Linked DNA regions of Callithrix jacchus. The protein of the gene in region 1 purifies or fractionates together with the protein of each later gene. This does not show direct contact. Links are inferred from orthologs where the notes say so. Each region holds a gene or a part of one and is shown in the gene's direction. Other genes may lie near its edges. The genes, in order: CSNK2B, GPATCH2, GPATCH2L, SUPT16H, ARK2N, RPS6KA1 and DCAF7.

Region 1 (4,114 bases):
CAGAAGAGTTGACACAATCAAACAGCCGCACGGCACGAAGACGCATGCGTGGCGACGACAACAACAACAAAAACCACAACCCACATTACTTGAGGGCTCAGGCGTGCGCAAAGCTCCCAGTTCAGTTTCCCGCGCTGGAACCTTTCCAATAGCAAACGCGCAAAGCTCTGCGCGCCCCGCTGGCGCGAGCACCAGGATCTGTCGGTTAGGGTTCTACTTTTACCTATACGCCCCCACAATGCCCTTCGCCTTCCTCAACGTGAACCGCCCCCCTCCCCGCCCCCTCGCTCCAAGTCCATTTTCTGGACCTGGGAATCCACTCTCCGTGTTAGGAAAGGCCCTCAGGAGGCGGAGGGAAACTTGTGGAATGCCGAGAAGCCGTGAAATGAAATAACGTCACGCCTGCCCCTCACCATTACTCTGACCAGGGTTCTAAGGTCACACTTAGAGCGTAAAAGGAGAAGTGCAAGGGGACGAGCGAAATGGCTGGCCCCACCTCAGGTTACCGCACTGGGCCGTTCTGGTTCTCACAACGCTCAGCTCAGCTCAGCCCAGCCCACCCAACCCAAGTCCCTACGCACGGAGCCAAACTGCACCTCTCGCCTCATGAGGCCAGAGCCGGGAGGGTAACAGGAGGCCAGTCAAGGGTGTCCGGCGGGACTGACTCTCACTAGGGGCTCAACAATCAATAAGGACCCAGCGGATTGGCCGGGGATGGGCCAGTCCCCTGGGCAGCAGCGCCCCGCTGCGCCGGAACTAGACGGGAACTGCGTGTCTCCCTCCTCTCCCCGCCCCATCTCGGCTTTTCTCCCAGTGAGCACACAACTATATTTCCCAGGCTCCCTGGCCCCAAACGTCATACCTGGCTTCCGCTTCCGGTGGCTTCTCGCTGTGCCCCGCCCGCAAGCGTCCTCCTCCGGGGCTTCGTGACAGCCAGGTCGTCCGCGGGTCTTCCTGGGATTGGTAGTTCGCTTTTCCTTCATTTCACCAGTTTCTCTTTCTACCTGGGACTCCGTGTCCCGGCATCCATCGCAGCACCTGACCCTTGGCGCTTGCGTGTTGCCCTCTTCCCCACCCTCCCCAATTTCCACTCCCCCCCACCCCACTTCTCTTGCCGCGGTCGGGTCCGCGGCCTGCGCTGTAGCGGTCGCCGCCGTTCTTTGGAACTAGCGACTTCCCTACCCCACCCCAGTCCTGGTCCCCGTCCAGGCGGTGAGTCTGAGGTCGTCGCTACTCAGAGTCTCTTGTTGGGAGCAGCACATGGGGTCTCCGTACTTTGATGTGGGGGCGGGGGAGGAAGCGACCAGGTCCGGCACAAAGGAGGGAGAGGTGGCCTGAGGAGCGGAGGCAAGATGTGTGGACTCCAGTGAAAGGGACTTGACGGTCGCTCCAGCCCATAAGAAGAGGAGGGGCCCGGCTCTTGCTAGAGAATGATAAACTTCGAAACGCTTGGGAAAGGCGCCGGGGTCATGCAGAGAGCTGCAGTGGTAGGGAGCCTGAGCCGAGGTCCGTGCTGGAGGTGACACAAAGTAGAGAGGGCCCTGGCCTTCGGGAGCTCCAGGGATGTGGGTCAGGCTGGTGGGTCAAAGTATCTGTTGGGTTCTCTCAAGTGGTGGGACCCCAAAGTGTGTTTAACCTCAAAGAAAAGGAGCTGAGACGTAAATTAGAGGAGCTGGAGAGGAGTGTTTCAGAGTTTGGGATCCTTTAAAAAAGGACGGCTCCAAATTCTAAAGTCTCCCGTGGTTGGAGGGCCGAATGTGGGAGGAGGGAGGATACCAGAGGCAAGGAGGGAGAACTTGAGCTTTACTGACATTCTTCGTTTTCCAGCTGACGTGAAGATGAGCAGCTCAGAGGAGGTGTCCTGGATTTCCTGGTTCTGTGGGCTCCGTGGCAATGAATTCTTCTGTGAAGTGAGTTCTCTTCAACCCCCCTCCTTGCCAGCTCCACATAGATTCCCACTAGACGTTTCTCCACATATTCCACTTCCTCATCGTTCTCTTATATGCTACTTGAAAACTTCCCATCAATGAAGAGTCCCCTCAGTAACCCCCGGCAAATCTGTGCTAAAGTGGCAAAATTGGGGCCTGTCCCAACTCTGCCATCCTCCAGCAATATAACGTTGGACTAGGCAATTTGTGACTTTCTCTTTTTTTCTTTTTGAGACCGAGTCTTGCTCTGTCACCCAGGCTGGAGTGTAGTGGTGTGATCTCACCTCAATGCAACCTCTGCCTTCCAGGTTCAAGTGATTCTCCTGCTCCAGCCTCCCAAGTAGCTGGGATTACAAGTGGCTGCCACCACGCCCAGCTAATTTTGTATTTTTAGTAGAGACAGGGTTTCACTAGGTTGCCCAGGCTGATCTCGAACTCCAGACTTTAGGTAATCTGCCCGCCTTGGCCTCCCAAAGGGCTGTGATTACAGGCATGAGCCAGTGCACCCAGCGTGTGTCTTTTATTACTAAAGTGGCACTGCTAGTACCTGTCTCAGGTGGCCGTTAGGAGAATTGAAATGCTACGTATCCAAATCTTTTGTTCAGAAACCAGGCTGTTCAGCTTCCACCTTCCTTAGCCAGCTGAGAGGACAAAATGGTTCCTAGCGATGGGAGACAGGAATAAGGATAGAGATCTTGAAAAGAATGTCTCTCTAAGAAAAAGACTGCTGTACCTGCTTATCCTTAGAAAACAAAAGCCAAAGCTTTTATGGGAGGGAGTATAGGTGAACAGAGAAGAGACGCGAGTACTTCTGCTGAGTTTCAAGTGAGAAACAAGGGGGAACAGAGCAGTTAGGTTGATAACAAGGCATCAGTTAGAGCATTTTGCTCACGTTAAAGATGGAGATTTTGACATGGGTTCCCTCTTGGCTTCCATATCCTGACAGGTGGATGAAGACTACATCCAGGACAAATTTAATCTTACTGGACTCAATGAGCAGGTCCCTCACTATCGACAAGCTCTAGATATGATCTTGGACCTGGAGCCTGGTGAGGCACCCTCAGGGTTGTTTGTGTGTGTGCGTGTACTTTTTTTTCTCTTCAGATCCCTATTCACTTGCTTGAATTTTGAAATTTCCTTTGGTTCTCTGATTTTCTTAACCCCAAATTCATGCTTTATTTTGATCCTCCACCTGACTCTTGTCTAGTTTTGTGACGCATTATCACTTGTTTCCCATACTTTTTAAATCCACAGTTCGGATCTATTCCAAAATGGGTTTCCTCATGGGTCTCATTTGCTGTCTGTTTCTCCTACCTTGGACCTTCTAGTCCGGAGTTTGATCTTCTGCATTGATATTGTCGCATTTATGTATTGAGGAGGGAGTTGGGAGGGAGAGGAGAGGAGAGGAGAGGGCAGAGGCTGACGAGGTGTGAAGAGAAGGCAGAGCTCTGCCTTGGGCTGGTGAAAGCGTCAGAAGCCCAGGTTTCTGGGTCACATGCCCAGGTGTTGGATAGGGTAAGGCTCAAAAGTAGGTGCTAGGCAAACTGAATAGCTAGCAGCCCCTGGGTATGGGCAGGGCACCTAGGAAAGCTGAAAAACAAGTGGTTGCATTTGGCTGGGCTGTGTTTCAGATGAAGAACTGGAAGACAACCCCAACCAGAGTGACTTGATTGAGCAGGCAGCCGAGATGCTTTATGGATTGATCCACGCCCGCTACATCCTTACCAACCGTGGCATTGCCCAGATGGTGAGGCCACTCTGCTCCCACTTGCCTCTTTCTGAGCAGTAAGAGAAACAGGTTCCTGCAGCAAGAAGTCATGTTTCAGCCCAGCTAAGGAAGCTAGCTGAGAAGAGGGGAAGAACCCCAGAACTTGGGCCTTGGAATTTAATCCTGATTGGGGGTCATCCTGAAGGGATCGTTTTCAGGGAGGGAGACAGACCTTGAACAGAGAGTTGTTATAGATTGGCTCTTCCTCAAGGAACAAACAGTGAATGGCTCTGATGGTTTGTTGTCTGCCTAACTGGAAGAAAGGCAACATAGGAGTTTGAGAGCCCATCTGGGCCAGTGAAGGGGCCTCTGGACAGAGGTGGGAGGAGTGGGGGACAGAGTGATGTGGGTTGGGCTGAGAAGGGAGTTGCCTCTTCTCTTAACACCTACCTGCCAACCCCTTCCATTTTATTCACCT
Region 2 (3,966 bases), on another chromosome or scaffold:
CCGCAACCTCCGCCTCCTGGGTTCAGGCAATTCTCCTGCCTCAGCCTCCTGAGTAGCTGGGATTACAGGCACGCGCCACCGTGCCCAGCTAATTTTTTGTATTTTTAGTAGAGACGGGGTTTCACCATGTTGACCAGGATGGTCTCAATCTGTTGACCTCGTGATCCACCCGCCTCGGCCTCCCAAAGTGCAGGGATTACAGGCTTGAGCCACCGCGCTCGGCTCATTTTTTGTATTTTTAGTAGAGACGGGGTTTCCAGGATGGTCTCGATCTGTTGAACTCGTCGTGATCCACCCGCCTCGGCCTCCCAAAGTGCTGGGATTACAGGCTTGAGCCACCGCGCCCGGCCTGATACTTTCATTTTAAAAAGGCAAATGAGTCAAAGAACAATTGAGTTCAGTGACGTTTGTGAAATCCTGGAGGCTCAAATCCTTAGGTAGATGGGGAGCAGTCGGAAACCAGTGGGCTAGTGAGCCAGGGTGAACCCCAGTCAGGGTATTGAACCTTGAACCCGAAGAACATAGGTTTCATCAAATCACAGAGTGGTGATATCGAAGAAAAACACTTTACAATTTTATCTATGCTGAGGGTTTCCCTAAATCCTCTCACACTGAGTATCTATGGCCCCTATCTATTTAGAATTTTGTTGTATGGTAATACAAACAAACGATTATGTTTCCAGCCCATTAAGGGGAGAATTGGGTGTTACTTAATGAATTAGGGAAATCGTTAATTGGAAACTCCCGCTGAGGAACAACTGATAGCAAGTTCTGCCAGCCCTTTACGCGATCCTTCTCTTTCTGACTTACCTGTTCCTAAAGTAGTACTCATTTCCTACAGTCAACGACCTAGCTTGCAGCCAGGCTAAAGTGGCCATGGTCTCTTGGCGTTGGCTTACAACTGCTGTGCCTACCGGTGTCCATGGTAACTGGGCTAAACCATAGCTCACTCCCGGGGGGGTTCCATTGTTTGCTCACTGCTCTTTTCTCTGACGCTATTTCGACTTTAAGAGTACTAAAAAGACAACTAAGAAATTTCTTTGCAGCACAAAAAGTTTAATTTATTTGTCTCTGTCTCTACTGCGAGTATGAGGAGGGGATTATAGGAAGGGAAAGCAGTAGGCGAGGAGAACTAATGGTTGCTCCAGGCATCCGGTTTCGGCCTCAGTCGGCTTCCGGAAGTTCATCTCAAAATGCTGAACTGTATTTTGCAAGTCGCCGGTGCTGTAGTAGTTGGAGTCTGTTCACGGGCCTGAGCCTGTGGCCAGGCTCTTGGGTGTCGTTAATGTTCGGGGCCGCCGGGCGCCAACCGATCGGAGCTCCAGCAGCCGGGAACAGCTGGTGAGTCTGGCGGCCCTGGGGAGGGGGAGGTCAGGGAAGGGTGTGATGGCCTGAGGCCGCTCCGCTGGACCTGGAATGGAAGCGGGAGGGAGCTGTGATGGATGGTCTGAAGACATCTAGGCCTTGCTCTCACTCATTCCTGAGATGCACGCAGTTTGAGGGAGCTTTTGAGAGTATGCCAAAAAATTGTGAAAGAGTACAGTAAATGTTTGCTGATTGCTTAGCAATATTTTGGAAGTCATGCTTCCTGTAATCCCAGGAGCGGTTTTATCTCCTCATTGATTGTTGACAAAACTAGGCACAGGAAGAATTTATCTTAATCTGGGCCTTATTCCCCACTCCTCTTTCAAAATTCACCAATTTATACTAAGTCTCTTGGAAGATAAGTTCAATAATGGAAAACACATCACTCACCCCCTTTTTTGGAGGGGGGAACCTACTTCCACCCTCTTGAACATTCTAAGTTCAAATGAGATGTGTATGGGGGTGTTCCAGGAACTAATTTTACAACCGTTAGGATTAAGTTTGGGGCTTGACTATGTCTATGGTATCATGTCACCAGTGCCACGTTAGAATAATATATTGCTTTGACTTTAAAAGATATTTTCACAAATTAATACACTTTGTCTTATGACAGCCCTGTGATACCAGAATATCAAAAGCACAGAATATCCAAGTGTCTTGTCCACAGTTGCCCTGTACATTTTAATCCTAGAGCTAGGATCTGGGTTTTGGGATTTCTAGTTGAATACTGTAATATCTGTCCTATTTTTCTCCCAAGCCCTTTTCTTCCAAACGTAACACAAGACAACCAGTGAAACAATCAATTTCCTACTGAAAACCTTAAACATAAAGTTTTGACCAACAGGTGAAAGAAATGTGGCTAAACAGTGCATGTTCATTCCTAGATTCTGCAAAAATTAGAACATGAGGAAGTCTAATAGTCTGTGATCTTCAAGAATTATTTTACATCACCTATCATTGCAAAGGTATCCAAAATCTTTTTAGTTAGGGCAGGTCATCCTGTAGTTAAGTTTATAATGAATATAGATTTGATTTTACTCTTTTTAAATTATCACATTTTCTAGTGAGAAAAGTAGGGAGCACTTTTTAAATGAACCAATTTTTAATGGTGTAACTAGCATAGAATGAACTGCATAATTCTTAAGTGCTTGATTTTATTAGTTTTGGCAATTGTATATACTTATATAACCACCACGCAAAACGAGATAATGGACTTGCCCATCATCCCACAGTTCCCTCTCAAGGATACCTTTCTTAATGTTTCACCATTCATTATCTTTGTAAATCAGGGAGATAAAGTGTCATCTGTAGATTGGTCTGCTCTTCCTAGGGCACTCTTGATTTGTAGGATAGGTGACTGCATCAGAAGAGGACTGATTCTCTCAACTTCTTCTGCCTTCCAAATCGTGATTATGTACTGAGAGAAACCTCCTTCAATTCTCTTTTAAAGGCTCTCTTGTCATACAACCATTTCCTATGGCACCAGAGTATAACAAAGTGGTAGCAGTTAGTATTTTTGAATGAAATTCTTAAAGTCATTCCTGTTTTGGCACAATGAACATGTTCCAAAAAACTGGAACTTTATTTTTTAGTCTGCCTGTATGACTATACAGTCATTCCAGATTCCTTAATGGAATTTTCTTTTTCATTAATTGGACAGATATTTACTATACAACATATATGTGTAATCCCAGTAATAAATTCCAGTCCCACTGGGAATACAGCTACTAAGCAGTTAACTAGGTGCCAGGTTTTACATGCATGTGTCGTCTCATGTAAATCCTTTGAGGTAGGTGTATCATTCTTTGTGTTTTAGATAAGGTGATGCAAAAGCAAAGATGGTTTAAGTAACTGGCCTAAGTGTATTGTATTTGCAGGATGATTCCAATATACCCCCCCCCCAAATTCTTAAATAACTTGTAGATTGCCTATGTCTCTGAATGAGATACAATATGTAAACTAGCAGTTATATGTCCAGATTTATTAACCAGTCTGGAATTTCTAACTTATTTAGCTCCCATCTTGACTTTCTCTTTTCTTTTTCATTTCTTTTCTTTTTTTTCTGAGAGAGAGTCTCACTCTGTTACCAGGCTGGAGTGCAGGGGTGCTGTCTAGGATCACTGCAGCATACACCTCCTGGGTTCAAGGGATTCTCCTGCCTCAGCCTCCTGAATAGCTGGGACTACAGGCACATGCCACGACACCCCGCTAATTTTTGTATTTTTAGTAGAGACAGGTTTTCACCATGTTGGCCAGGATGATCTCGATCTCTTTGACCTCATGATCTGCCTGCCTTGGCCTCCCAAAGTGCTGGGATTACAGGCGTGCACCCCCATGCCCAGCTCATCTTGACTTTTTCAACTTCTCTCCAATTTGGAGGTTGCTGTTTCAATTTTTAGGCACCAGGTGGATAAACGTAGGTAATTTCTTTACTCAACTATGGTATTCTGTTTTTTTTAACTTTGTTATGTGGCTTTGCTTTTAAAAAAAGCTGTTAAGATAAACTATATTGACTCTGGAGTTTTGTTTCTGTATTTTCATTCCTATTTGGTATTTTGATTTTATTGAAATCTGAAAAACTGAAAAATCTGAAATCTGAAA
Region 3 (4,230 bases), on another chromosome or scaffold:
CCACCTCGGCCTCCCAAAGTGCTGGGATTATAGGCGTGAGCCATCGCGCCTGGCCCAATACATTATTATAGTTGATACTTTATCCAGTTTTCCTTAGTTTTTACCTAATGTTCTTTTTTAAATTGCAGTGTCACAGCCAGGATACCATATTACATTGTCATGTCTCCTTAGGCTCCTCCTGGCTCTGAGTTTCTCAGACTTTCCTTGCTTTTGCTGACCTTAACCATTTTGATGAATACTGATCATGCACTCTGCAGAATGTCCCTCAATTCAGGTTTGTCTGATTTTTCTTTTCTTTTCTTTTTTTTTGAGATGGAGTTTCGTTCTTGTTACCCAGGCTGGAGTGCAATGGCACGATCTCGCTCACCGCAACCTCCACCTCCTGCGTTCAGGCAATTCTCCTGCCTCAGCCTCCTGAGTAGCTGGGATTACAGCCACGTGCCACCATGCCCAGCTAATTTTTTGTATTTTTAGTAGAGACGGGGTTTCACCATGTTGACCAGGATGGTCTCGATCTCTTGACCTCGTGATCCACCCGCCTCGGCCTCCCAAAGTGCTGGGATTACAGGTGTGAGCCACCACGCCTGGCCTGATTTTTCTTTTCTTATAATTAGACTGGGGTTATGAGATATGGAAGGACACTATCATAAAGTGCCATTCTCATTACATATCATTCCACATACTATCAACATGATTTAGCACGTACTCTTGGTCACCTGGCTGAATTACTGTTTGCCAGGTATCCACTGTAAAATTACTCACTTTCCCCTTTTCATATGTTGTACTTTTGGGAAAGAAGTCAATATGCAGAGCCCACATTTAAGGAGGTGGAATTTATGCTCCAGGATGGTGTGTCTGCATACTTTGAGATTCTTCTGTGGGGGATTTGTTTCTTCTCCAATCTTTAATTCATTCAGTCGTTTATTTATATCGGTATGGATTCACGAATATTTCTTTTATACTTTGAGTTATAATCCAGTATCACTTGCTCAAGGCAGTTTGTAATGTTCTGAGTAACTCAGTGCAAAACAACCCCCCCAAAGGTTGTACCAGCTCACAGGGCAGATGTCATTAAGATCCATTTCCCCTCAACTTCGCACACCCTTTATAAAGGTCAGAAAGCAAGGGGGAAGCTGACAACCCTCCCTAGCGTCAATTTCTGGACGCCCCTAAGGAAGATGAGGCCAGCCTGCTGGAGTAGTTCCCAACACGGGCACCTCAGCCCCTGAGGCGCCCTTTCCCGGCCAGCCCCTATTCACCATCCTTCCTTGGTCCCTGCCCCATCTCCCGGCTTCCTGCAGCCCCGCCCACCTCAGGGCGGAAGTGGGTGTGGCCACGGGCGGAAGCACTGGGTCGGGGGCCCGCTCTTGCAGCCAGCCCCACCCACTCGCCGCCGCCCCACCCCTCCGGCCCAGAACGGAAATGAGGTCAGAGAGGGAAACCCCGGCGGTGAGAATCGGCCCAAAAAGCGGCGGCCGTTCGAGGTGGCTGCGGCAGCTGGTGAGGGGGTGGAGTGGGTTGAGAGTGTTGGGGTCCTGAGGGCTAGGGCCATAGGGGATCGGATCGCCAAGCAGCGGCTGAGCGGCTAAGGGCGTCTTGGGGCTGCGGCAGCCGGCCGGAGGGTGAGGGTGGTGGGGCCTTGCTTTTTCAGGGCCCATGTCCCTATCCCTGGGGGTGTGGGTCGGACAGTCTCCGGGGCCACAGCCCCCTTTTCCCCTTTCTTTCTGCCTCTTTGGGGCTGGCGGCAGCATGAGGGCTTGGGAAACGGGCCATGGTCGCTCCAGCCCTCAGGGACGGGCCGGGGCGTGGTGGAGAGTCCTTCGAAAACAGTTTTTCTCACATACGTGGCCATGTTGCGACCCCCGATCCCGGAGGGAGCTCAGTCGCTACGACTTCCATTTTGGCAGTTTCTGCTCTAGAATAGCCGAACCCCGTCCTTGGTGAGCCCAAATGAGAAGTTGTCTCCTGCCTCTCGCATCTCCTACTCCGCCCCTCACTTCCACCCTGCTCCTGCCTCTCTTCTTACTTGCTGTCCGCAACTACCAGTTCCTTCCTGTGCGTGACTCAGCCTCATCTCTACCCGGGTGCATGCCTGGTCGCCGAGTCCTCTCGAGAGTGTGCACTCGACTGGAGATGGAAGCCCTAGGGACCTTCTGTCACCTACTGTTCGAGTTGCAGGCTTTGATGCAGGAAAGGATTCTGCACAGGCATTCGACTACTGACTTCGTTCCCTGTTCAAGTTTGTGCTGTTCTGAGGTTTTTGTTTGTACTTTTGTTTTTGTATTTTTGTCGCCTGAGTTTTTAAAGCAGTAATTCTTTATTAGGGAAGTGGATTTAGGCATGCTGTTCCCACTTGTTTCTCTATTTTGGTCTTAGGGACAGTTGTCTCCCAAACCTCAATCATGGCATTTTTAACCAGCTCCCCCCCCCCCATTTTTTTTCTCCTCTTTTCACAGGTGTTGATAAATCACTTCTTATTGCTTAAAAGAACTTGGCCTTTTAAAAGTGTATGTGCCTTTGGACAGTTTGAGAAGCTTTGTTTGTATGGCAGTTTTGGAAGTAGGTGTCACCATTGCTCCTAAAGGTGTGGCAGATAAGCCAGAGGACTGTTTTCCTGCCTTTAAATTCATTGACGTAGGCACGGCATGAAAATAGTATTTAGAAAACGCTTTGCAAAGTGAAAACTGAATGAATGGAAATATGGTCAGAGTGGCACCACATAGAGTTTTAAGCTCTAGTTTTGATCTTGAAATACTTTGGGCACAGGGGCAACGAAAAAAGTGCTAAAAATTTAATATGTATTTAATTAGGTGCTGTACAAATTATATTAAACATTTCCCCTTAAGAGGGAATTTTGAAGATTGCTCCTACTGCTCTCGTTTCTTGAAATGTTTGCCTCTGAAGTGACTCCTGAAGTGTGATGTTTGGTTTGAGGATGGATAGAAAAATAAGAAATTTTGGAAAGCAGTTCGGCCAGAAATCTTAGAAACTTCAACTTATCCCTGTCATTTCAGCTGCTGTCGTATCATTTTTTTCCAGTGATTGTGTGGCACTGAAGCACATAAGTAGGATGAACATTTATTTTCTGAAGGATAGGAAAGGGGCTTAAAAATTGTTAATTACTCAGAAATATATGACATACTATATGAGGTTCTATACCTGGTAGCTTTCAGGTGGTAGTTGCTACCAGAATGGGTGCAAACTTAGTCTATTCTCCTTTCTGACTTCAAACCTGGGCACCACAATTTCTTGGATCACAAAAACTGCAGTCTTCTTTAAAGGGTGTCACTAAGTTGTCTTTCTGCCATGGCCATGGAAGGCAGTGACCCCAGGCCAAAGAGCAGTTTTTTATTCATTCTTAATACTCGTTGAGACTGTGTCCTGCTCTGTGTTTCCACAGCTCTGCTGTGATTTTGAAGTTGTGTGTTTTTCTACTCCTGTCTAATGACAATCTCTAATCTTTCTGGATCTCATCATTAGGTAATTCAGTGACACGTTTAATTGGGGAAAGAGAGACGGGTCTAGTTCCCCAAATTTGTTTTGGGTCCTGTCCCAGTTGTCATCTGGTGAGCAGGTTTTTGTGCTTAAGGATATGTTGACTTCAGTCATTTAACAAGGGACAGAACACCTATTTTTAGTGACTTAAGGAAGTGGTAGGAACAGAATCTAAGTGTAGCCAGATGAAAGGTTACTTACTTTGTTTAGGCAGGCGGAACTATGGACTACTATGATCTGTTTTATCAAATTATTCCAAAACAACAGATCCTTTCAGGCTCTCTTTTTCTTTTTCTTTTTTTCCCCTCTGAACTTCCTTTTGGGAGATGTGGCCTCATGGATGAGCTGGTACACGACTTAGCATCAGCCTTGGAGCAAACATCTGAGCAAAATAAGCTTGGTGAGCTGTGGGAGGAGATGGCCCTGAGTCCCCGGCAGCAGAGGCGGCAGCTTCGGAAACGCCGAGGTCGGAAGCGTCGTTCTGACTTCACTCACCTGGCAGAGCATACCTGCTGCTACAGCGAGGCCTCTGAGTCAAGTCTGGATGAGGCCACTAAGGACTGTCGAGAAGTGGCTCCTGTGACCAATTTTAGTGACTCTGATGACACAATGGTAGCCAAACGACACCCAGCTCTCAATGCCATTGTTAAGAGTAAGCAACATTCTTGGCATGAATCTGACTCCTTTACTGAAAATGCACCTTGTCGACCACTCAGACGCAGGCGGAAGGTGAAG
Region 4 (3,940 bases), on another chromosome or scaffold:
TTCCTTTGTTCTATATTTGCTCAAACCCAATGTGAGTATTGATTTTGGGAGGTGGGTAATTTTAGCACCACGTTGCTGAAGTTAAGTACTATCCATACTAAATTACCTTGGATAGAGCAGATTAAGTCATTTGTACTTCTCTAAAGGGCATAATGTAAATGTAGACAGTCCAGCTGCCTAAAGGCAAGGGAATTCTTTAAGGTAAAAGGAGGACAAACTTCTGGATTGAAACTCCCAAGTTTTTAGAAGAAACAGGAAGCAAGCATTTCATCAAGAACCATGTACATTTTGTTTCTAATTACCTGAAGTAACGGTTCTTTGGGGGGAAGGCATAGAATAGTGTCACTTTTCATGAACTGCAGCAAGGGGACTGGCTGACTGGAAGGATGCTCAAGGGATTGGGGTTGTGGAAAGGAACTAAAGGTGTGTGAAGCTCCTCAAGTCATTTATTTCCTCTGACTTCTACCATCCCACTGCTCAGACAAAGCCTGGGCATATAATTTTCCTTTCGAAAGCTAGGTTCCTTCCCATAGCTTGGATCGTAGTTTATCGCGAGGCTGGGCTCCATTTCCTAGGTATGAGATCTCTGTCCCGGCGGACCGCTTGACCGAGCATTCTGGCACCAAGGATTCCTCTGGCCCTGGAGCAGTTAAAGACGTGTATCCCCCATCGTTTCCAGGAGGGGCGCGTGCCCAGTTACACTGTTGTATTTCCACTTTTATCCCACGCTGCATCCCGCTCTTTCCGCTCCCCTTCTTTTGCTGATGGGGTGGAGCTATCACGCCCGCGCGCGGCAGCTCTTGTTGGGCTGCGCAGGCACCGCCTTCTTCGCTTCGCCTAGTGGCTGCCGCCTCGGCAAAAAGTCTGAGGTCCTGGAAACCGCGGCTGGGCTGAGAGTTAAGGGCGGAGGCAGACCGTCACGTGACGACGTAGATTCGCGTGCGGCAGTGGCGAAGTCCACAAAACCCCGCGAAAATCGACTCTTTGCATTGCAGGTTTTGTTGATTTTCTTCGTTTTTCTTTCTCTCCGCCCCCTACCCATCCGAGAGAGGATTTAAAAAAAAAAAAAAAAAAATTCCTAACGCTGTCGGGACCCGGAAGCGGAAAGGGCATCTTTGAGGTCGATACTTCCGGGTCACTGGGAGAGTGCGGGATTCCTGGGCCGAAAGCGGGTGGCAGAACCGGGACTTCGCGTGATTCTCGGAACCCGAGGAGAAGCGGTGTCCGGGGCTATGGCTGTGACTCTGGACAAAGACGCTTATTATCGGCGAGTGAAGAGACTGTACAGCAATTGGCGGGTGAGGAAGATCCCGTAATTTTTCTAGGGAGCCCCCTCTGCCATCCCATAATAACCCTGTTTCTCGGCGCCCTTTTTTCTTTTTCGGTCGGGAATTCCTGGGTTCAGGGTCTACCCCTTTTCGTTGCTCCCGAATCGTTCACGGGAGGCGACCACGAACGCTGCCCCGTAACAGGGAATCCCCCGCATTCACCCTGCTGCGGCCATCACCATCCACCCCGCGTGCCAGCCTTGATCATGCATAACACAGCACTTCTCGCAGTCTCTTCCCGCCCTAGAAGAGGCAACATCCTTCCCTCCTACTCCGTGGTAACGTCTTGCTGCCCCCTCCTGCGGTGTTCTTACGCACCCACGCACTCGCTGTGCCCCTCCGGAACCACAATATTCCACCCCTGGTCCCGCCAGAATTATAACCGTCTTCGTAAAGGAGAGATGGAAGGGCAAGGAGGATGCCAATCGGACTCTTAGCCTTTGTCATTTGCGGGGCTTTTGCTGGAGTTAAAAAAAGAAATACTGCTCACGCGCAATCGCCTCCTGTTCTAGGCCCTGGTGTGGGTTAGAGAGAGAGAGAGAGACCTAACGCTGAAAGCCTGCAGACAAAAGTAATACCAAAACAAAACGATGCCTAAAACCTTATTAGTTCCTTGGTTGTGTATCTGTGGGCACGTGTTCAGAAAAAGAGCTGTGGCAGTTCTCAGTTTTTTAAAGATAGGCAGTTTTGCTGCTTTAAAAACGGCCACAGTTTAAACATTTTTATGATACTAACTTGAGCAAACACTGGGTTGCTTTCTGTGATGCAGTCTGAGTTGACTAGCTTGTCTTGCCTCTGAATCCTGTCATCAAGGAAGATACAGCTAATAAAGATTTTTTTAATTAAACCTGAAAAACATTTTGAGAAAAATCAGTTTTCATTTCAGCTTTGTAAGTTATGGTTGAAACTGATCCTCTGCTAAAACCAAGCCATTGAAATTGGTTATTTCCTTGCCATTCCTATTAAAGATGCCTGTGCATGTTTCATCTTTTGAAGCTAAATACATTAGATAATTGAAAATAAAAAGGATTCTCAGTTACATTTTATGAAAAGCAAAAATAAAAACTCAGTGCTAGATGAATGCTGAACGTTTTAATTTTAATTTTTATTTAATTTTTTTTTTTTGAGATGGAGTTTCGCCCTTGTTGCCCAGGCTGGAGTGCAATGGTTTGATCTCGGCTCACTGCAACCTCCACCTCCCAGGTTCAAGAAATTCTCCCTCAGCCTCCGGAGTAGCTGGGACTATAGGCGTGCGCCACCACGCCCAGCTAAATTTTGTGTTTTTAGTAGACACGGGGTTTCACCGTGTTGACTGGGATGGTCTCGGTTTCCTGACCTCGTGATCCGCCTCCTGGGTCTCCCAAAATGCCGGGATTACAGGCGTGAGCCACCACACCCAGCCTGTTTTTTGAACTTTTTAATTAATTTCCACCTAATGATTTTTTACAGCTTGTCTCACTGTCATATTATTATTCAAACATGATCTATGTTAGAAAAACGTTTTAAAACCTTGATACTTTCTAATGATCGGTAAGTACTAAAAATCTGAAACCCTCTTTTCTACCCATAAACTCTGAAACTATACACCTTTGATACAAAATTGTTTCTAGTCCCAGTGATTTAGATTCATCAAATAATTTCATTCTCTCTATACCATTCATAAAAGCTAATGTGTGGCTCTAAATTCTCCTACATGATGATTAACTGTGGCCTGAAGATAGATTGCCAAACCTAATATAAAACGATAGTCTTTAAATCCATGAAAGTTATTCCCCACCCACCATTTTTTTTGTTTTGTTTCTCAAAAATCATTAAAATTTATTTTGGCCCTCTTATTATCTTAGTGACATCATCTTGGGAAAATGTTAGATACTGATAAGACACTCACTGATGGTATAAATAAAGTTATGAGCCAAATCTGTGTTAAAATGTACCATTTAACAAAATCTGTGGCTATTATGAATAAAACTTTCTGCTTTTGTGTTAATAATATGTCCAGAACCCACCTGTAGAAGTTCTTTTTGTATGCAGTATTCAGCATACGTGCTTTCATTCTGATGTACTTAATCAGGGATAGTAGTTTTCTGGGATAAATCTGGTTTCTTATCCGCCTGGATATAGCAGAAACATAGTGGGATATATAGGTGTGTTGTATAACTTTTTTCTCATTTACACCTTTTCCTTTTTTAGTAAGAAAACTGGGATTGAAATAGAATAACTTAAAGTTAATGGTAAAAATTCCAAGCCTGGCTGGGTATGGTGGCTCATGCCTGTAATAATCCCAGCACTTGAGGCCAGGAGTTCAAGACCAGCCTGGGTAAGATGATAAGACCCCCGTCTCTACAAAAAGAGAAAAAGCAAATAAATTAGCCAGGCAGGTGGTCTGCACCTCTAGTCCCAGCTACTCGGGATGCTGAGGCAGAAGGATCCCTTGAGCCCAAGAGTTTGAGGCTGCAGTGAGCTATGACTGCGCCATTGCACTCCAGCCTGGATGAGACCTCGTCTCTTAAAAAACAAACAAACTAACAAAAAACAAAAAAAGAATCCCAAGCCTTGTGCTGTCAGCTTCCATTAAAAAAAAAAATCCATATTATGACTAAAATTAAAGAATG
Region 5 (3,500 bases), on another chromosome or scaffold:
ACCAAAAATGTTAAGGACTTAACTGTATAGGTCATAAGCTCTTGAGATTAAATATTATGTCCTGTACCTGTATGGTTAATTGGAGTTGTATTACTCACAGTGGTGGCAGAGTGTTAGTTTCTAAATTTAGCGTACAAAGTGTAAAATGGGTGTAGAGTATTTTCTCTTAAACCCCTTAATTCAGTCATAGAATATACTGAGTTTTCTGGGTTCTGTATTTAGTGACCATTGTTGATAAAACATCCATTTGAACACTAGACTCATGTTCAGCATGATGAGGTACGTGGGAACTAGGTAGGATTCAGGAAAGATAGATTCTGGCCTTTCATCTTAGTGTTTCACTAGAGCAACTCCTATTGAGGGGACTGCAGACAGGTTTGATGCATAGTATTTGGTTGCTCATTTGCCAAATGCATGTAGTTGAAGGAGGGAGAGAGAGAGAGAGAGAGCGCGCGAGAGAGAGCGAGAGAGAGAGTGAGAGAGAGAGAGTGTGTGTGTGTGTGTGTGTGTGTATAAAATATAAGTGTAGGAGCCAGGCACAGTGGCTTACTCCAGTAATCCCAGCAGTTTGGGAGGCCAGGGTGGGTGGAACACTTGAGCTCATGTGTTCAAGACCAGCTTGGGTAACACGATGAAATCCTGTCTTTACAAAAAATACAAAAATTAGCCAGGTGCAATGGTGTGTGCCTGTAGCCTAAGCCATTTGGGAGGCTGAGGCAAGATAATTGCTTGAGCCAGGGCAATGAAGATTGCAGTGAGCTGAGATCGCACCATTGCACTCCAGCCTGGGTGGCAGAGTGAGACCTTGTCTCAAAAAACAAAACAAAACAAAAAAGGTGTACATTTGATGTTTCTATACTGTAACTCCCCTCCCCCACCTCCTTTCTTTGAGGATTTGAATGTAAAAGTAGTCATTCCAGCTATTGCATTGTTTTCTAGACTAGTTTTAAAGCATTCTTTTTTCATTTATATCAAAGTTAATAAAGGCATATCAGAGTTTTGAAGATTTCTTTCTTCTTTTTTTTTTTTTTGAGATGGAGTCTTACTCTTGTCATCCAGGCTGGAGTGCAGTGGTGTGATCTTGGCTCACTGCAACCTCTGCTTCCCAGGTTCAGGCAATTCTCCTGCCTTAGCCTCCCAAGTAAGTGGGACTACAGGCGTTTGCCAGCACGCCTGGCTAATTTTTTTTTTATAAAGGAAAGGAGAGGAAAGGAGAAAAAGGAGGAAGGAAAGGAAAGGAAAAGGAAGATAAAGTATTGTTTTTAAGTTTTGGTGATGCTACTTAAAAGTGGTAATCTTTTTTTCTTTTTTTGGGGGGGAGAAAGAAAGAAAAAGAGGTGAAGGAGAAGAAGAAAGAGGAAGAAAAACAGGGAGAAAGAACGGAAATGTTGCTTTATTCTAAAAAATGGGTATTAATAATGGCCAATCAATATTTCATTTAAACCTATGAGTAGGTGTGATGTGGTATTGACAAGAATGTATATTTTGTGTATTAAAAGTGGAGAGCTCTATAAATATTAAGTTTACTTGTTCCGGATCTGAGTTCGAGTCCTGGATTTCCTTATTAATTTTCTGTCTCATTGAGCCTAAGTCTCTATGTGTCTGGGTGTTAGGATCGTTAGCTCTTATTGTTGCATTGATCCTTTTACCACTATATCTTTGTTGCTTTAAAATCTATTTTATCAGATGCGAGAATTGCAACTCCTGCTTTTTATTTATTTATTTATTTTTGCTCTCCATTTGGTTGGTAAATCTTTCTCCATCCCTTTGTTTTGAGTCTTTGTGTATCCTTGCATGTGAAATGGGTCTGGATGTAGCATACCATTGGGTTTTGGCTGTATCTTTTGACTGGGGGATTTAGTCGATTTAAATTTAGGATTACTGCCATTTGATGTTAAGTGGCTGTTTTGTCCATTCGTTGATGTAAATTCTTCTTTATGTTGATGCTCTTTTTGGTATATTTTTAGAAAGGCTAATACTGGTTGTTTCTTTCTACGTGTAATGCTTCTTTCAGAAGCTCTTGTAAAGCAGGCCTGGTGGTAATAAAATCTCTGAGTACTTGCTTGTTCATAAAAGATTTTATTTTTCCTTCAGTTGTGAAGCTTAGTTTGGCTGGATATGAAATGCTGGGCTGAAAGTTCTGTTCTTTAAGGATGTTGAATATTGGCTCCCACTCTCTTCTGGCTTGTAGAGTTTCTGCTGAGAGATCTGCTGTTAAGTCTGATAGGCTTCCCTTTGTGGGTAATCTGACTTTTCTCTCTGGCTGCCCTTAGTATTTTCTCCTTCGTTTCTCCTCCTAATTTTTTGTATTTTTAGTAGAGATAAGATTTCACTGTGTTAGCCAGGATGGTCTTGATCTTCTGACCTCGTGATCCACCCACCTCAGCCTCCCAAAGTGCTGGGATTACAGGCATGAGCCACTGTGCCTGGCTGAAGATTTCTTTCTAGAACACTAACATCGTAAACTTAAAATGTTTGTTACCTGTTGGCCTTGTAAGTTCAGTAATAGAGGATTAATATTATGGCATTTTTAGATTTTGATGGTATTAAGTCCTTTGAATTTGACTGTTGATCAAACAAGCAGATAATAATACCTGTATTTTAAGGACCTGTGTAATGGTAAGTTTTGCTCTACCTAAAAATGTAGGCATGTTGCCGGGCGCGGTGGCTCACGCCTGTAATCCTGGCACTTTGGGAGGCCGAGGTGGGTGGATCACCTGAGGTCAGGAGTTCAAGACAAGCCTGGCCATCATGGTGAAACCCCATCTTTATAAAACAAAAAATTAAAAAAAAAAAAAAAAAAGAAAGGTAGGCATGTTGTTGTGTTGATTAAATAATCTGCCATTTTGTTTATTGACTTTGTGTGTTTTTGTACAGGTTGCTTTCCTGTTGCATCTTTGATATCATTTCCTAGACTCTGCTTCATGATTTAACTTGAAATTCTGAAATGAAGATGGAGGAGGCAGTAGGAAAAGTTGAAGAACTCATTGAGTCCGAAGCCCTACCAAAAACGTCCGAACAAGAGACAGCCAAGGAGGAAGATGGATCTGTAGAACTGGAATCTCAAGTTCAGAAAGATGGTGTAGCAGAGTCTACTGTTATTTCTTCAATGCCCTGCTTGTTGATGGAACTGAGAAGGGACTCTTCTGAGTCTCAGTTAGCATCCACAGAGAGTGACAAGCCTACAACTGGCCGAGTTTATGAGAGTGACTCCTCTAATCACTGCATGCTTTCCCCTTCCTCTAGTGGTCACCTGGCTGATTCAGATACGTTGTCTTCTGCAGAAGAGAATGAACCCTCTCAGGCAGAAACAGCAGTAGAAGGAGACCCTTCAGGAGTATCTGGTGCCACAGTTGGGCGCAAGTCTAGGCGGTCCCGATCTGAAAGTGAAACATCCACTATGGCTGCCAAGAAAAACCGGCAATCAAGTGATAAACAGAATGGCCGAGTCGCCAAGGTTAAAGGTCATCGGAGCCAAAAGCACAAGGAGAGGATCAGGT
Region 6 (4,147 bases), on another chromosome or scaffold:
ATTGCACTCAGGAGATAGTCCTCTCAGCCGATAGCTGGACCCCCTCAGGTCCTGGCATAGGAGGAAAATCCTAGGGAAACAGACAACCTCAGAGGTGGGTCTCCAAGAAATATCAGACTGCTCTCTTGAGTTTGCAGACTGTGCCCCTTCTTCTCTTTCCCCACCCCAAGTACAGCAGCAAGAACCCACAGTTCCATGCTTAACCCCTCCCTGGGGATCCCTGCCCTGCTGCCTGCCTGCCTGCCTGTGTGTCTGCCGGGCATCAGACCTATCTGTCCTAGGTGTCTGCCAGTCTACTTGGGCCTCACTGACACTGGCTGTTTCTCTTTGCTGCCTACCTGTGTCTGTTGTTGGATTACAATCTCTGTCTCCACTTGATAAGTACCTGCCTTCACCTGTTGGGCACATGTCACATGTTAGGTGCCTGTTGTTCATGTCCCCTTCTGTCTCTACCTGTTGGGTTTATGTCTTCATTTATCTCTGCCATTGGATACATGTCCCCTCTGTCTCTGCCTGTTGGGTACCTGTCCCCTTCTGTCTCTGCCTGTTGGGTTTATGTTCCCTTCTGTCATTGCCTGTTGGGTTCGTGTCCACTTCTGCCTCTGTCTGTTGGGTTCATGTCACCATCTGTTTCTGTGCTGTTGGATACATGGCCCCTTCTGTCATTGCCTGTTGGGTTTACGTCCCCTTCTGTCTTTGCCTGTTGGGTACATGTCCCCATCTGTCTCTGGCTGTTGGGTACATGTCCCTTTCTGTCTCTGCCTGTTGGGTTTGTGCCCCTATCTGCCTACACACATTGGGGATGAGCTTCTGTTCACCTCTGTCTGTTAGATATGAGTCCCTTCCTGCTGCTTCTTGTTGGGTACATGTCTCCATCTGTTTTCTACTGGGTATGAATTTCTCCTGCCTCTGCCTGTTGGATAGGTATCCTTATCCATCCCTGCCTGTTGGGTATGTGTTCCCTCCTGCCCCTGACTATTAGATGCCATTCTTATCTGTTTCCACCTCTTGGGTGCCTGCTTCTGCCTGTTGGGTGTCTCTCTTCGTCTGCCTCCACAAATCAGGCATCTGTCTTTGCCTGTTGGGTACCTATCTGCTGTTGGGTACCTGTCTGCTCAGCAGCTGCATTGGCAGGGGGCTTTCCCCTTGCAGGCCTCTGCAAAGGGAGGATGGGGGAATGGCCAGAGGGCAGCCCTCAGACACTGGGGAGTGGGGAGAGAGGAAGGGAACGTGGTGAGGGTGTAGGCCTGGAGCTGGGAAACCACAGACCCTGAGTGATTGGCTGCCCTGGGCCGGGCCCAGCCCCCGCCCTTACCCTGCACATCCGCCTTGGTCCGGGCCACCTCCGCGGCAGCCCTGGTCGCTGCCTGCTCCTGCCATGGTGCTGTGGCCCTGCTGGGCGGATGGAGCAGGATCCCAAGCCGCCCCGTCTGCGGCTCTGGGCCCTGCTCCCCTGGCTGCCCAGGAAGCACCGGCCCAGGATCAGCCAGACCTCTCTGCCTGTCCCTGGCCTTGGCTCTGGCTCCCAGCAGGACTTGGTGAGTGTGCCCGGATGTCTGGTCCTGGCCTGGCTGTGTCCCTCGCACAGGTGCCTGGGAAGCTAGCTTAATGCAAGTTGGCTTTGGTCTGTCCTGGCCCTGCCAGGGGTGACTGGACCCTGCCCAGACTTGCTTCCTGGGGAGGTGAAGAGGCACTTGAGGGCTTCAAGGTAATACCAGCAGATTGGAGGGAGGTTAGAGTCCTGGAACAGTGAGGCTCTGGCAAGGCACTTCTAATAGGTTTGTAGGAGGGAAGTTTGGGAAGATGAGCCATGCAATCTCCGGCCTTAACTCTGACCTGCCCCAGGCCAGCGCTGACCAAGTCGATGGGGGAGTTTGGGTGACTCTTGGGTCTTTGTGCACCTCAGCCCTGTCCTACTGACCAGAGGGATCCCTCTTCCCATCCTGACCAGGAATGAAGGCCCAGCTCTACCTCCCCATATGAGAACAAACCTACTTCCTATTGTGGCAAAACTAAAACAGCAGGGGGAGGGAAGCCCCACGGGCAGACCTGGGACAGGTCTCTGGGTCTCAGCCAAGTCGGGTTAGCTGAGCCTGGCCATGCCTGGGCATCCCTCTGGGCCATCCAGAGCATCAGGAGCAATAGGAGTGGTACCTTTTCTGGTTTGACCTCACCAACCTTTGAGGCCCTTTTGAAATTGATGTCCCTGGAGGCTAGCCCTTCAGGGAAGTCATCTGTTGGGCCTTTAGGTCCCATCTGCTGCGGTCTGGTGGGAAGGGACTTGGGCAGGGGGGATATGCCTCCTGCTGCCCAGATGGGGCCCACTGTGCCCACCAGCTCTATCCCTCCATCAGGATGAGGGCGTCCTCAAGGAGATCTCCATCACGCACCACGTCAAGGCTGGCTCTGAGAAGGCTGATCCATCCCATTTCGAGCTCCTCAAGGTTCTGGGCCAGGGATCCTTCGGCAAAGTGAGTCATGAGCCCATGGCTGTGAAGGCAACGTTGGTCATGTTGGAGGTGGGGATCAAGGCTCACCTATGGGCCCAAAGTATCAGAGGTCACCTTGGTACCCACGGAGAGCAAAAAGGTCAGCTTGGGGCTCAGAGAAGATACAGGTCATTGGCCAGGCGCAGTGGCTCATGCCTGTAGTCCCAGCACTTTGGGAGGCTGAGGTGGGTGAATCACAAGGTCAGGAGGTCAAGACCATCCTGACCAACATGGTGAAACCCTGTCTCTACTAAAATACAAAAAATTAGCTGGGTGTGGTGGTGGGCACCTGTAGTCCCAGCTACTTGGGAGGCTAAGGCAGGGGAATCACTTGAACCCAGGAGGTGGAGGTTGCAGTGAGCCGAGATTACGCCACTGCACTCCAGCCTGGTGACAGAGCAAGATTCTGTCTTAAAAAAGTAAAGAAAAAAAGAGGCTAGACATGGTGGCTTACGCCTGTAATCACAGCACTTTAGGAGGTTGAGGTGGGCAGATCACCTGAGGTCAGGAGTTCGAGACCAGCCTGACCAGCGTGGAGGAACCCCGTCTCTACTAAACATGCAAAATTAGCTGGGTGTGGTGGCGCATGCCCGTAATCCCAGCTACTTGGGAGGCTGAGGAAGGAGAATCGCTTGAACCTGGGAGGTGGTGGTTGTGGTGAGCTGAGACCACGCCATTGCACTCCAGCCTGGACTCAGCCCTCTCCCATCTCCCATCTTATCCCCTGCTTCCTGCTCTGCCTTCTCAGGTCTTCCTGGTGCGGAAAGTTACCCGGCCTGACAGTGGGCACCTGTATGCCATGAAGGTGCTGAAGAAGGCGACATTGAAAGGTGAGTAGGGACACCTCCCTGTGCAGAACCCAGGCTGGGCTGAGGGAGGCAGCCCACACTTCAGGGACCTTGGTTCTGGCAAGGAAGACAGCTCTGTCTTCAGAGCACCTAGTTCAAAAGCGGAGAGACAGGCCTATGTCTCAGCCATCCCTCCCCACCCAATCCCCTTCCCCTAAGCCAAGTGCCAATGACTGGCTGTGAAGGTCTGGAAGGTAGTAATAGGATAAATGCATGGCTGGGCGCAGTGGCTCACGCCTGTAATCCCAGCACTTTGGGTGGCTGAGGCGGGGGGATCACGAGGTCAGGAGTTTGAGACCAGCCTGGCCAAGACGGTGAAACCCCATCTCTACTAAAAATGCAAAAATTAGCCAGGCATGATGCCTGTAATCCCAGCTTCTCAGGAGGCTGAGGCAGGAGAATCGCTTGAATCTGGGAGGCGGAGACTGCACTCCAGCCTGGGCGACAGAGTGAGACTCTGTCTGAAAAAAAAAAAAAATTGGATAAATGCAATGTGTTTTTCAGGGGAGGGACCCTCAGATACCAAGCTGGTCTGGCAGAGGCGTTCTGACTATTGGCAGGGTTGCTTCATGATGCTAGAAGAGTCTGAGGGAGACCTCTGTGGCCTCTAACTCATGGGCCTGAGAGAACGGCATGAGTAAAGAGGCAGGGAGCCCAGGGAGGCAGCTGGGCAAGGCAAGAGAGGGTGAGTCCAAGCAGGACCACAGTGCTGGATAGCAGAGAGGTTCAGAAGGGAGCCCAAGTCAAGCTTAGAGTTCTGGGGACTCACAAAGGGTGTGAGGATAGTCGGTAGTGGGCTTTGGGTTGGGC
Region 7 (3,500 bases), on another chromosome or scaffold:
GCCCCACAGAACTTTCCCTGGTTGCAGTGTGTGACTTGTGGTTTTCATTTCACTATTTCCCAGACCAAAGAGAGTACCCCTTACTCACTGGGCACAGTGGCTCACACCTGTAATCCCAGCACTTTGGGAGGCTGAGGTGGGTGGGTCACCTGAAGTCAGGAGTTTGTGACCAGCCTGACAAGCATAGTGAAACCCTGTCTCTACTAAAAATACAAAAATAATTAGCTGGGCATGGCAGCACACACCTGTAGTCCAAGCTACTTGGGAAGCTGAGGCAGGAGAACTGCTTGAACCCAGGAGGTGGAGGTTGCAGTGACCTGAGATTATGCCACTGCCCTCCAGCCGGGGTGACAGAGCAAGACTCCATCTCCAAACAAATAAATAAATAAATAAAAGCAATACCTCTTAAAAATATGTTGGGCCAGGCATAGCATCTCAGGCCTGTAATTGTAGCATTTTAGGAGGCTGAGGTGGGAGGATTGCATGAGGCCAGGAGTTTGAGATCAGCCTGAGCAGTATAGTGAGACCTCTTTACAAAAAGTTAAAAAATTATCTGGGTGTGGTAGTGAATTCCTGTAGTCTCAGCTACTTAGAGGCTGAGGTGAGAGGATCCCTTGAGCCCAGGAGTTTGAGGTTATAGTGAGCTATGATTGTGCCACTGCACTCCAGCCTGGGCAACCAAGCAAGACCCTGCCTCTAACATAAATTTTTTAAAAAGAAAAGAAAAATATGCTGGTTGTCAGTGCACTTTTATTCTATAATGAATGCCAATCTGTTATTTAAAATGAAAACAGTACAGAGGCATGTTTAAGGTGAAAGTCATTGTTTCTCCTTCCTATATTATTTCTGCCTCCATCCCACTCTGCATAGATGACCTCTATCAACAGTTCATGTGTCTCCTTCCGGACCCTTTTGGTATACATTCGGGAGTGTACATCCATACCCCTAAAGACAATTCTATACATCTTCCTTTTGCACGATGGGATTCTGTCCGAGCTTTGTGGTGTTTTGCTCCTTAACTTTTTTAGTGTGCATTTTTCTTCTCCTCGCTAATCAGTATCCTTATAATGGACAAGGTTTGTTATGAAGCCCAAGAAGCAATGTACTTTGGTGTTTTTCTGCCATTTGAGCATTATTTTGAAGACATGAAGCTTCTCCTGATTTTGGCCCTGGGCTCATGCCTGTATGTCTTCTTGAAGAGCAGTTGGGGGCATGCTGCCGCCTTATATACCTCAGGTTATGGTCTGTCTTCTTCGTTATTGCCCTCTTATTTTTTTAGGGGTGTGGACAGGGAGGGATGGAAGAAACAGAAAAGGTATCATCTAACATTCATGGAAAGCAGGACTGGCCCCTTAGAAGCTGCATTTTCTGCTCCTGACTGCTGCCTTTGCCCTGCTCTCTGTCATTTAGTGTGTTGCACCTGCCTTGAGCCCCTTCAACCAAAGGAGCTGTTGTTCAAGTGTGCTCAGTTGAGCACTGAGGATAAGGAACTTAGTGCTTTAGAGGGCAATACCCTGATCTTTTGGTATACACTGTCCCTGGGAGAGGGATCTTGCACCTGGCCCAGACTATGCGGTCTCGGTAGAATACCAGTATTGCCCATAATTAGCCTGGCCTATTAAGGCTTAGTTTATTCAGATTCCCTGTGTATCTAAGACCAGCTTTCATCAGAATGCATGGCAGAGTCAGGGTAAACTGCAGCTCTGAAGACCATTGCCTTTTTTTTGCTTTTTTTAAAATTAACTTACTATTTTGATTATAAAAGTAAGCTGGGTGCGGTGACTCATGCCCGTAATCCCAGCACTTTAGAAGGCTGAGGCAGGTGGATCATCTGAGGTCACGAGTTCAGGTTCAGCCTGGTCAACATGGTAAAACCTGTCTCTACTAAAAACACAAAAATTAGCTGGTTGTGCTGGTGCGCCTGAATTCTCAGCTACTTAGGCGGCTGAGGCAGAAGACCCCAGGAGGCATTGGTTACAGTGAGCCAAGATCACACTATTGCACTCCAGCCAGGGTGACAGAACAAGACTCTATCTCAAACAAACAAACAAAAAGTAATATGAACATATTACAGAACTAGAGAAAAGTAAACATAACCTTGCCATCTTAGTATTGCCACCATTCTCATTTTGATATATTTCCTTCTAGTCATTTTTCACGTGCTTTTATATATTTAAGGTGATTGTCTTCTTTCTGGTGTTTCCCATAGATATTTTCTTGGCTTTATTTATTTATTTTATTTTATTTTTTGAGGTGGAGTCTTACTCTGTCGCACAGACTTGAGTACAATGACATGATCTTGGCTCACTGCAATCTCTGCCTCCCGTTTAAGTGATTCTCAGCCACCTGAGTAACTGGGATTACAGGTGTGCACCACCATGCCTGGTTTATTTGTATATATATATATTTTTTTTTTTTTTTGAGACAGAGTTTCACTCTTGTTACCCAGGCTGGAGTGCAATGGCGCAATCTCAGCTCACCGCAACCTCTGCATCCTGGGTTCAGGCAGTTCTCCTGCCTCAGCCTCCTGAGTAGCTGGGATTACTGGCACGCACCACCATGCCCAGCTAATTTTTTGTATTTTTTAGTAGAGACGGGGTTTCACCATGTTGGCCACTCCTGGCCCCAGGTGGTCCACCTGCCTCAGCCTCCCAAAGTCCTGGGATTACAGGTGTGAGCCACCAGGCCTAGCCAGGAAATAATTTTTTAACAGCACATATCAACACTACTTTATCAGTCTTCTTTCTCTATAATACCTCATTGAAGTATAAATGGGAAGAAACCTTCTCATTATATTGAATGATCAGAGAAGGATCTTATAACTCCAGTATTTTAAGTGGCTGCAAATGACATGTTTTGTATCCCCTGGTCCACTCCTGATACCTGACCCAGGTGAGAAGGGCTCATTAGTGCAGTGGATAGAGCCTAGGGACACCTGCAAGATGGAGTCAAGGCCTAGACTTGAGTTCTGGCTCTGCTGCTCACTGGCTGCACAGCTGTGTGATTTGGGACAAGTGCCTTAACATTTCTGAATCTTGTTTTCTTCATCGATAAAATGGGGGTTTAAAATAGAACCTCCATCACGGAGTTTTGGTGATCAACTGCTTTGTAAACTGTGACTTGCTCCTGAAATACAGGGATCATCATCCCCATTGCCTCAGTTGTGACCTTGCTTGCTGGCTTTCTTTGTCTCTAGCGGATGACCACCAGGCTCTCATCTGGGACATCCAGCAAATGCCCCGAGCAATTGAGGACCCTATCCTGGCCTACACAGCTGAAGGAGAGATCAACAATGTGCAGTGGGCATCAACTCAGCCCGACTGGATCGCCATCTGCTACAACAACTGCCTGGAGATACTCAGAGTGTAATGTTGGTGGCGCTGTGCGCACGAGGCAGGGCCTTGTGTGTTTCCTGCCTCTGCCCCACCCCAAAGTAAGAAGAAACATGTTTCCAGTGGCCAGTATGTCTTTCGTTGCTTTGCACCCACTGTTACCAGAAG

The links.
Region 2: the proteins of CSNK2B (region 1) and GPATCH2 purify together in Homo sapiens (co-immunoprecipitation; 3 studies listed by BioGRID and IntAct, with this or other methods). This does not show direct contact. The link is inferred for Callithrix jacchus from reciprocal best matches to the Homo sapiens genes CSNK2B and GPATCH2.
Region 3: the proteins of CSNK2B (region 1) and GPATCH2L purify together in Homo sapiens (co-immunoprecipitation; 3 studies listed by BioGRID and IntAct, with this or other methods). This does not show direct contact. The link is inferred for Callithrix jacchus from reciprocal best matches to the Homo sapiens genes CSNK2B and GPATCH2L.
Region 4: the proteins of CSNK2B (region 1) and SUPT16H fractionate together in Homo sapiens (co-fractionation; 4 studies listed by BioGRID and IntAct, with this or other methods). This does not show direct contact. The link is inferred for Callithrix jacchus from reciprocal best matches to the Homo sapiens genes CSNK2B and SUPT16H.
Region 5: the proteins of CSNK2B (region 1) and ARK2N purify together in Homo sapiens (co-immunoprecipitation; 3 studies listed by BioGRID and IntAct, with this or other methods). This does not show direct contact. The link is inferred for Callithrix jacchus from reciprocal best matches to the Homo sapiens genes CSNK2B and ARK2N.
Region 6: the proteins of CSNK2B (region 1) and RPS6KA1 purify together in Homo sapiens (affinity purification with mass spectrometry; 4 studies listed by BioGRID and IntAct, with this or other methods). This does not show direct contact. The link is inferred for Callithrix jacchus from reciprocal best matches to the Homo sapiens genes CSNK2B and RPS6KA1.
Region 7: the proteins of CSNK2B (region 1) and DCAF7 purify together in Homo sapiens (affinity purification with mass spectrometry; 4 studies listed by BioGRID and IntAct, with this or other methods). This does not show direct contact. The link is inferred for Callithrix jacchus from reciprocal best matches to the Homo sapiens genes CSNK2B and DCAF7.

The regions. Positions count from the first base shown.
Region 1 is NC_133505.1:39,169,663-39,173,776, forward strand, and holds the start of CSNK2B (casein kinase II subunit beta), read left to right. Parts: upstream 1-1,314; 5' UTR 1,315-1,430; coding exon 1,431-1,506; intron 1,507-1,827; coding exon 1,828-1,910; intron 1,911-2,874; coding exon 2,875-2,977; intron 2,978-3,559; coding exon 3,560-3,675; intron 3,676-4,114. UniProt on the Homo sapiens protein: Regulatory subunit of casein kinase II/CK2.
Region 2 is NC_133520.1:11,521,275-11,525,240, forward strand, and holds the start of GPATCH2 (G patch domain-containing protein 2), read left to right. Parts: upstream 1-1,166; 5' UTR 1,167-1,285; coding exon 1,286-1,341; intron 1,342-2,249; exon of another isoform or gene 2,250-2,330; intron 2,331-3,592; exon of another isoform or gene 3,593-3,771; intron 3,772-3,966. Other genes in the region: spermatogenesis-associated protein 17-like, read right to left, coding at 811-878. UniProt on the Homo sapiens protein: Enhances the ATPase activity of DHX15 in vitro.
Region 3 is NC_133509.1:111,081,051-111,085,280, forward strand, and holds the start of GPATCH2L (G patch domain-containing protein 2-like), read left to right. Parts: upstream 1-1,430; 5' UTR 1,431-1,500; intron 1,501-3,821; 5' UTR 3,822-3,831; coding exon 3,832-4,230.
Region 4 is NC_133509.1:55,882,703-55,886,642, reverse strand, and holds the start of SUPT16H (FACT complex subunit SPT16), read left to right. Parts: upstream 1-1,140; 5' UTR 1,141-1,232; coding exon 1,233-1,298; intron 1,299-3,940. UniProt on the Homo sapiens protein: Component of the FACT complex, a general chromatin factor that acts to reorganize nucleosomes. The FACT complex is involved in multiple processes that require DNA as a template such as mRNA elongation, DNA replication and DNA repair.
Region 5 is NC_133514.1:89,266,856-89,270,355, forward strand, and holds part of ARK2N (protein ARK2N), read left to right. Parts: intron 1-2,877; 5' UTR 2,878-2,947; coding exon 2,948-3,500. UniProt on the Homo sapiens protein: AMPK substrate important for exercise capacity and skeletal muscle function.
Region 6 is NC_133508.1:63,192,467-63,196,613, forward strand, and holds the start of RPS6KA1 (ribosomal protein S6 kinase alpha-1), read left to right. Parts: upstream 1-1,347; 5' UTR 1,348-1,403; coding exon 1,404-1,538; intron 1,539-2,354; coding exon 2,355-2,471; intron 2,472-3,237; coding exon 3,238-3,319; intron 3,320-4,147. UniProt on the Homo sapiens protein: Serine/threonine-protein kinase that acts downstream of ERK (MAPK1/ERK2 and MAPK3/ERK1) signaling and mediates mitogenic and stress-induced activation of the transcription factors CREB1, ETV1/ER81 and NR4A1/NUR77, regulates translation through RPS6 and EIF4B phosphorylation, and mediates cellular proliferation, survival, and differentiation by modulating mTOR signaling and repressing pro-apoptotic function of BAD and DAPK1.
Region 7 is NC_133506.1:88,863,307-88,866,806, forward strand, and holds part of DCAF7 (DDB1- and CUL4-associated factor 7), read left to right. Parts: intron 1-3,196; coding exon 3,197-3,369; 3' UTR 3,370-3,500. UniProt on the Homo sapiens protein: Involved in craniofacial development. Acts upstream of the EDN1 pathway and is required for formation of the upper jaw equivalent, the palatoquadrate. The activity required for EDN1 pathway function differs between the first and second arches.